Neurospora crassa OR74A: one gene and its partner. The protein of the gene in region 2 purifies or fractionates together with the protein of the main gene of each other region. This does not show direct contact. Links are inferred from orthologs where the notes say so. Each region holds a gene or a part of one and is shown on either strand. Other genes may lie near its edges.

The links. The genes of interacting proteins can lie anywhere in the genome.
Region 1: the proteins of NCU05608 (region 2) and NCU04281 purify together in Schizosaccharomyces pombe (affinity purification with western blotting; 3 studies listed by BioGRID, with this or other methods). This does not show direct contact. The link is inferred for Neurospora crassa OR74A from reciprocal best matches to the Schizosaccharomyces pombe genes tor2 and wat1.

What each region holds. Positions count from the first base shown.
Region 1 is NC_026505.1:5,484,169-5,487,857, forward strand, and holds NCU04281 (WD-repeat protein pop3), read right to left. Parts: upstream 2,356-3,689; 5' UTR 2,051-2,355; coding exon 2,029-2,050; intron 1,910-2,028; coding exon 1,392-1,909; intron 1,318-1,391; coding exon 901-1,317; 3' UTR 501-900; downstream 1-500. Other genes in the region: NCU04280 (aconitate hydratase), read right to left, coding at 1-40. UniProt on the Schizosaccharomyces pombe protein: component of both TORC1 and TORC2, which regulate multiple cellular processes to control cell growth in response to environmental signals. Nutrient limitation and environmental stress signals cause inactivation of TORC1.
Region 2 is NC_026506.1:1,348,270-1,352,504, reverse strand, and holds the start of NCU05608 (phosphatidylinositol 3-kinase tor2), read left to right. Parts: upstream 1-1,435; 5' UTR 1,436-2,551; coding exon 2,552-2,687; intron 2,688-2,765; coding exon 2,766-4,094; intron 4,095-4,235. Other genes in the region: NCU05607 (DUF602 domain-containing protein), read right to left, coding at 1-933.

The sequences.
Region 1 (3,689 bases), on a different chromosome or scaffold from region 2:
GGGCAGCGCCTGAGCGACTGGCGAGATCAATTGACCTCATGGTGACAGACTGTACAGAAGGGGAACTTGGTTGTTTGGAGAAAGAAAAGAGGAGAGAAAAGTTGCCGGTTACACTATCTTCACTTTGGTCCGAATTACGGAGCCATTCCACTTGTGAGTGCCGCCGCCACCCAAGCAGCAAATCCGGGGATTGCGGTACACTACATACACTGGAAGTACGCTAACTGTCTTTTTGTCCAATAACATCCAGCTATTTTAAGTGAATGCTTTGTCTTTGATTTCAATTCTGAATTCTGAGATGCCCAGGCAAGTCCTCAAAAGTTCCAGATCACTAGTAAAACCCTCCAGGCCGGCAGTACCCTTGAACCAGTGTTGACTTTGAATCTGCCAAGCCGGGGCGTAACACACAGCTGATCCACTTTTCGACTATTCAAGCCAATCATGACTCGTATGTTCCTAATCGATTCTCTCAGTCACGGACTTCGGCCGAGCTTTCATCTTGAATTGTTCTTATATCCGACGGAAATGTGGTCTACTGTTATATAGCAATACTTTTTGCTACCAGGTATCAAGTGTTATGAAACGGCGTGGCGGGCGTACTTGGGAATTCATGTCGTTGTGTGATTTTCCACTCTAAAAACATTACTTGCATAACCATAAAACGCCATTGCCATAGCCGATTCTACTAAACAACCCGCCAGTCGCTCTCAAAAAGGATATCCGGGGAAAATAGCACATATGAAATGCCCCTGCCATGACACTGCACTTTGCAGCTTCGTTTCCTCTTACATCGACAGCCCATCATAGAGACGTAAAAATTGACATCTTTCCGCAGCCGCCCTACACTTCAGCCGTGTTGCAAATTGTCGCCGTCTCCTCATCTTCATCCAAAAGTTCCCACTAGCGAGCTTCGGAATAATCGTTGAGAGCGACGCATACAATACCGCGGTGATGGCCGTTGTACTGTCTGATAACAAGCTGCGTGTGTAATTCCCACAGCCGCGCATAATGATCACTGCAGGCAGTTACCAAGTAGGCACTGTCAGCGCTGAAGGCACAGTCCCATACCCAACGCTGGTGCTCCTTGAGAGTGGCCTCGAGGGGGAACGCCTGCGGTTCCGAATCGGCCGTGGCAGGTTCCATTTCCCTGACTTCCCAGATCCTGGCCGTATGGTCGGCGCTACACGTTGCGAGCTTCTTGACATCGGGCGAGAGTAGGATGCGCGTGATGCTTTCCTTGTGTGCGGAAAAGTGGGTGAGGGGAATCAGCTGGGTGCGGTCATAGGCCTGGATGAGTTGCCAAACGAATACATTGCCCTGGCAGACAGAAAGGAGGTGTCAGTATATCGGGAAGATACAGCAAGGAATGACTCGGTGGAGAGAAAACTTACAGCAGTGTTGGCCGCACAAAGAAGTGTACCGTCACTGGCAACCGTGACACTTGTCACTGAAACATCCTCCTCGGGGATTAGCTGGTGCGAGCAAGTGTTCTCGGCCAGATCCCACAGTCGGATGCTTCCGGCGCGGTCGCAGCTGATGATCTCTCCCTGATTAGGGTGGATGACAACGTCGTTTGCCGGAGAGCCGTGGTTGTAGCTTCGCTGGATGGTTCCGGTGCGGGTTTCCCAAATCTTGACCGTTCCGTCCTCCGAACTTGTTACCATCCACTTGCCCTCGCAGTGGAAGGCCACGCCGGTCACATTGCCGGTGTGGCCCTGGAAGGTCATGAGGGCCTGCGGGTTTGTGGAACGAATGTCAAAGAGTTTGACATCGCGGTGGCCGGCAGCGGCGAGGTATCGCTTGTCAGGGGATATGCAAAGACGGTTCACTTGAGACTCGGGGTGTTGGATGGTGCGCGAGCAGATTCCGGAGAGCGCCTCCCAGAACCTGATGGTGTGGTCGTAACCAGCTGTAAAGGGCAAAGCGAAGAGTCAGCAGCTGTTCCAATTCGGCACAAGGGAGGAACTGGATCAAGGGGATGGGGCATTACTGCGTCGGCAAGGTAGACCGGGACAAGACAAGCCATACCTGTGCAAAGGATAACCGACATGGTAGAGGTAGCGACTGCGACGGGGATACAGAGGCTATGATTCCATAGTCCACAGACACTCTTCAGGTCTACCGGTACTTGGGCAGTCGGTGACAGACAACGAACGCGTCGATATGGGAAGAAGAGACGTGGATCACGGTAGAACAAGTTATATCGAAATGGCCCGAATTGAAACTGATGTCAACAACGCCGGGAGCTGAGGCCCTGATGATCGCGGGACGGCACTGGACCGCACCGATTGATACCTAGCAGCGGATAGCAGCGCTGCAGGCATGGATGGACAAGACAGGTCGGCGGGGCAGGCAACACAACGAAGAGACCTACGGACGGGACCTATGAAGTGGAGTGGACTTAAGGTTGCCCCACAGTGGAGGGGACAAACGGTGGGGCCCGCCGGAGTCAAGTGGGTTTGAACTGGATGTGGATGCAACTGCCTGCCGGGACCGGCACTCACTAACACATGCTCGACCAACCAGCAACAACAGCCCAAGCGATTCCGTTTCCCAACTTCAACTTTCCTTCCATCAAGCACAACTTCAATACCAACTAACTTCTTCACCAAGACATGAATATTTACTACTTATGTACATCAACATCTTCCCTTTGCTCGAGATCTGGAATCCACGTATAACCCACTTCCATTTTCCTCCTCGCCTGTTATATGACCCAGTGATAGCACCATCTCAATGTCAGCATATTCTCCTCCTTCTTAGGGCCTCTGTTCCCCTCGTCGTCCAGCACGCACACACTCGGACTCTCTTGTGATGCCGCGAAACACCATGTACCAGGACACCCGCTTCATTCCATCTGATGCCGTCATTAGCCATGCCATATCCGTCTTGGATGTGCTACTTTGACACCCCCAACCTCGCACTCATTGGTGAGGTCTACGGCAAATCCGAGTACCAGATGTGTTGTTTCCCTTGCTTCCCGTTTCCCGTCCCCCGCCTCCCAGGTTGGCCTGTGATAGAGTGCCCTGTACGTCCGGCGATATCCGTGCAGTGACCTACCTACTAGAGGCAGTTAGTATTCACTTTCTGTTGGTCAACATCTGCTGGGACCTGCAACTTTAAGCGCGAGTGGGCCCTGCTTCTGTACCACCGACACCTTACAGTCCTACTTAGTCCGTGGACAGTCTTCTTGTAAGTGAGTGGGTTGATTGCCATCGATGAGACCTGAGAGCACGAGTGGAGGCTGACCTGTCTAGGTTCCTTTTTTGCCTTTTCCCTGCGCAACCGAGCCCCGGCCTGACGAACACTCTACACAAGTCACCACCAATCTCAAACTCCATGATCGGCTGTTTGCGTCTCAGAACCCGTCTTCGCAGCGGACGTCCACCTGTTGGAGCCTTTCTCGGTGCCCGAGTGTGGTACGGGTACCCGATTCCGCCAAAGCTTTCGGATTCTTCCGGTTATCAGCATGAACAACCAACTTCCACAGGGCACCATTCCCGCACTGGACTTTTATTTGCCCGATCAACTCCTCTCAGCGACCTGCGTCATGTCGCCCGCCATGGCTGTGCTACCTGTCGGTTTCGTCCCATGTCCGAACTTGGGATGAATCCAAGCTGGCCCGCATCTCGAGAAGCACACATGCTCGGTTTCCGTTCCGAACTCAACCTTCGGACTTGCGGTGAGGC
Region 2 (4,235 bases):
TCCAGCAGCTGCTAGTTTACGTCGCTTCATGGCTTCATCCTGGTCCGCTAATACCCTAGCAGTGAGCGCAGCCGTGGCGGCGTTGTTGATGCCACTCACCCGGCTAGATATACTCTCACCAGCACTCTTCTTGGCCTTCTTAGTCTCCTTCTCCTTGTCAGCGTCACCATTGGCCTCGTCAGCCGTGCGCTTGTTCTTTTTCTTCTCCTTGCTGGCGCTCTTGTCCTTTTTCAGACTGTGCGTCAGGCCTTTCGTCTTGAGATCCTCCATCCGCTTCGATAACCGTTGAATATCCGCCTTATCGGTCGGCAGAATGGGAATAACGTCCTCTGACTTGAATGGTTCGCTGCACTCTGGGCACACCTCCTCTGTGATCATCTGTATCGCCATCTCGGCAAAGACGTGGCCGCAAGGGACCAGATAGACGGATTTTGTAGATGGTCCCAGCTCTTTGAGCGTAACGGGACACGCAAAGATTTCCTTTTCTTTTTTGTTGCCACCCCCGGGCGGCGTGTACCGCTTGAACTTGAGCTTGACCACGTCGCGAAGGGATTTGATGCCGGTGGAGGCGAAGCTTAGCTCGGTCGCGAAGATGGCTGTTGGCGTTGCCGTCGACTCACCGTTGCCCACGCTACTGCTATTGGTGCTGGTATTAACAAGCGCGGGAGATGTTGTGTCTTGTTTGTTCTCGGAGGAGTCATCGTTACTACCGGGCATCAGCCCCTTGAGGATGGATTCGTAATTGTAGAGACGGCCGCGCCAGTCAGACACGACGGTTTCGAGATCAATGGGCTCGGAAGAGATGGGATCGTGGGTCCAGGCGTGGTTGAGCGATTCGAAGGCGGTGGCTTTAAGCTCGCTTATTGTCGGGTTGCGCGCTGCTTCTTTGACGAGCTCGCGTCGCTTGGGGATGGAGCCTCCGTCATTACCCATGGTGGTGATGGTGTGTAGGGGGCTGAGGGGATGGTTGTTGCTGTGGTCTTGGAGTTGGTTGAGGGTGTATGGTCCGTCAAGTATTATTACAGTAGAGGTATTTAGGTACAATTCGATGAAGAGAGTTGGCCGGAGACGGAGTGGCGTCGTTGTGTACACTGCAGGTTGACGGAATGGACAGAGCAAGTCGCGGCAGAGATAAGATAAGAAAGGAAGAAGGGGACGGGAAGAGCTGAGGTTGGTTGGTTCCTCCACTGTAAATTTAAAGTTCACGACAGGGGGCACCGGGCTTCCATCCGCAGCGGGATGAAGCGCGTCAAAGCGTGCCCCTGTGCCAATAGCAGTTGTCCACTGCAACCTGTAATTGGAGCTTGCAGATGCGTGCCTTCCACTGGCTTCCAGTTGTGTGAAATTCCCGTTGCAAGCCGTTGAGGTGTTCCAGGTGACTTTGAAGCCGAAGCCTCATGAGACGAGGCTGCAGGGGCGACAAGAGGATCCATGCCCGCCAGGTTTAGTAGCTCCACCGTATTTCCAATTCTCCATCTACATAGTAGTATACTGCCCTGAGCCCCCGCCGGCGACGGGGAACAACGTCGTCGACAAATTAACCAACGACCATCGGCTGCTTGGCACATTGTACGGCCCGCCGTGTTTCATCGCCGTTGTTGTTGATGATTTGGGGATACAAAGCTGAAATTCCGTTATATCCATCATTCGAGAAGCAGATTACTGTAGCGGACGCACACCCAACGCCCGCCCGCGCAAACATCGATCCCGCGGCTCGAGACCTTTCCGTCCCCCGGCCCCGGCTACCTATCCAGCCAGGGCATCCACACGGACCCTCCCCCTCCTCTCCCTCCTCCTCCCAAGACCCAATATCCATTGTGGTCCTTCATCCAGTGACGCAGCGTGGAACCCCTCCTTCTCGGGCTGGCTGTCGTCCACTCTCAAACTTCAACCCGACCGTTTCGTTTTCCCTCATCACCAACCACTTCAACGGCGACCCAACAGTCAAGGACCAGGGTCTCCCCAAGTTCCACCCTGTACCTTGACAGCCGGCGGTCTATCGGTCCATTCCCGACCTTCTCTCAACGACTAGTCTAAACTACTTTCCACTTCAGCTTGAAGGCTGTGATAGCTCCAAGCTTCTACGATACCCAGAACCACCCGCCTTACTTTTGATTTAGGCGCGCGTGGTCACAAGTTATAACGGATTTGCATTCTATCTTCGGCCTATTCACTTCGTCTTGCTGACGGTCATTACGACTCACGAGCGTGTTACGTTGCTGGACACTACCGCACGCCCATTTGCCCGTTCCATCCAAACCATTTCAATCGCATTTGACCCGAACATCACCTGCTCCCACATCGATCAACCTCAAACCAACCACTGCAACCGACCTTGCGATTGCGCTCAGCCCACGACCCGCGACACTCTTGACGACTGCGACAAGAAGGCGCAGCTGTTACACACGCGCCCTTCGCCTCGGCCGGTCAACCGGCTCTTGAAGCACGTTGGCCCCGCTTACTATGGGCCAGCGACGATAGGCCTAGTTGCAGACGAGGCTGTCCGACATCTGAAAAAGAGATCAAGACGTTATAGTCGGACAACACCAAGATGTCGCTCACAAAGGAGCAAGCAGCGGCAACGCTGGAAACATACATTCGCGATGTGAGGAATCGCACCTCTAGCGACGACGCGCGGAAGCGCGCTGCTCGGCAGATCAGAGATTTGGTAAACGTTGCGAAGCAAGGCAAGTCCACCAATTCCGAGTTTCTCCTCAGATTCCTGTCAGATATTGGAACACATGCTAACATACAAGGCTGTATAGAAATGGGCGCGGAGCAGTTTACGGCCTTTTTCAACACAGTCAACCAAAGGACCATGGCGCTTATACAAGGGACCGACACGTGTGACCGGATGGGCGGTGTTTACATCCTCGATGCTTTGGTCGACTTCGATGGTATCGACCTAGCCCTCAAGTACAGTCGCTTCGAGCAGCACATTGGCTACATCCTCCGCAGCAAAGACGTAACACCAATGCAGCCCGCCGCGGTCGTCTTGGGAAAGCTTTGCAAACCTGGCGGCTCTCTGATCTCAGAGCTTGTTGATGCCGAGGTCAAGCTGGCTCTGGAATGGCTCCAGTCAGAGCGAGTTGAAGAAAGGCGATATGCCGCCGTCCTTATTCTACGCGAGCTGGCACGCAACGCACCCACTCTCATGTACCCGTACGTTAACTTCGTCTTTGAGCAGTCCTGGATCGGCCTCCGAGATCAGCGACTGTTGATCCGAGCCACTTCTGCCGAGACAGTCAGTGCCTGCTTCAAGATTATTAGGGAACGTGATCAGGCCATGAAGCAGGAGTGGATGGACAAGATGTTCCATGAAGCCGTCAGGGGACTCAAGACAAACACTGTCGAGTCAGTCCATGCTTCTCTCTTGGTTCTCAAGGAGCTGCTAGAGCAGGGTGGCATGTACATGCAAACCCACTACGGCGAGGCATGCGATATCGTCTTCCGTCACAAGGACGCCAAGGACCCGGCTATTCGTAAGACGGTGGTCCTCCTCATCCCGGACTTGGCCAACTACGCACCGAACGACTTTGCATCAACATATCTGCACAAGTTTATGATTCATCTTTCTCATATGCTTAAGAAGGAAAAGGAAAGGAACGATGCCTTTCTCGCTATTGGTAACGTTGCCAACTCAGTCAAGAGCGCCATCGCTCCCTATCTCGATGACGTCCTCATATATGTTCGAGACGGCCTAAGTATACAGTCACGGAAGCGAGGTTCGGTCGACCCCGTCTTCGATTGTATTAGCCGTTTGGCCGTGGCCGTAGGTCAGACATTGAGCAAATATATGGAGGCGCTCCTGGATCCAATCTTCGCCTGCGAGCTCACCCCGAAACTAACCCAGGCTTTGGTTGACATGGCCTTCTACATTCCCCCAGTCAAGGCTACCATCCAGGAACGGTTGCTCGATATGCTCAGCAAGGTTTTGTGTGGAGAACCATTCCGACCGCTAGGAGCACCGCATCCCAACACACTCACTTCGATCCCGGCCATCCCAAAAGATCCCAAGGATCCATCAGTGCAGGAGCGAGGAAAGGCCGAGGTCAAATTGGCTTTGAACACCCTCGGCAGTTTTGATTTTTCAGGTACGTTACTCTTCAGTTCCCCAAGAAGCCGGACTGGCCAAAGAAATTCCAATCTCGGTCCGATGCTGCCAGTTACGAAGAAGGGCAGTCGTCGGGACATTGGCCGGCCTACACTGATACCCCATTGGAGCGAGAACTGAC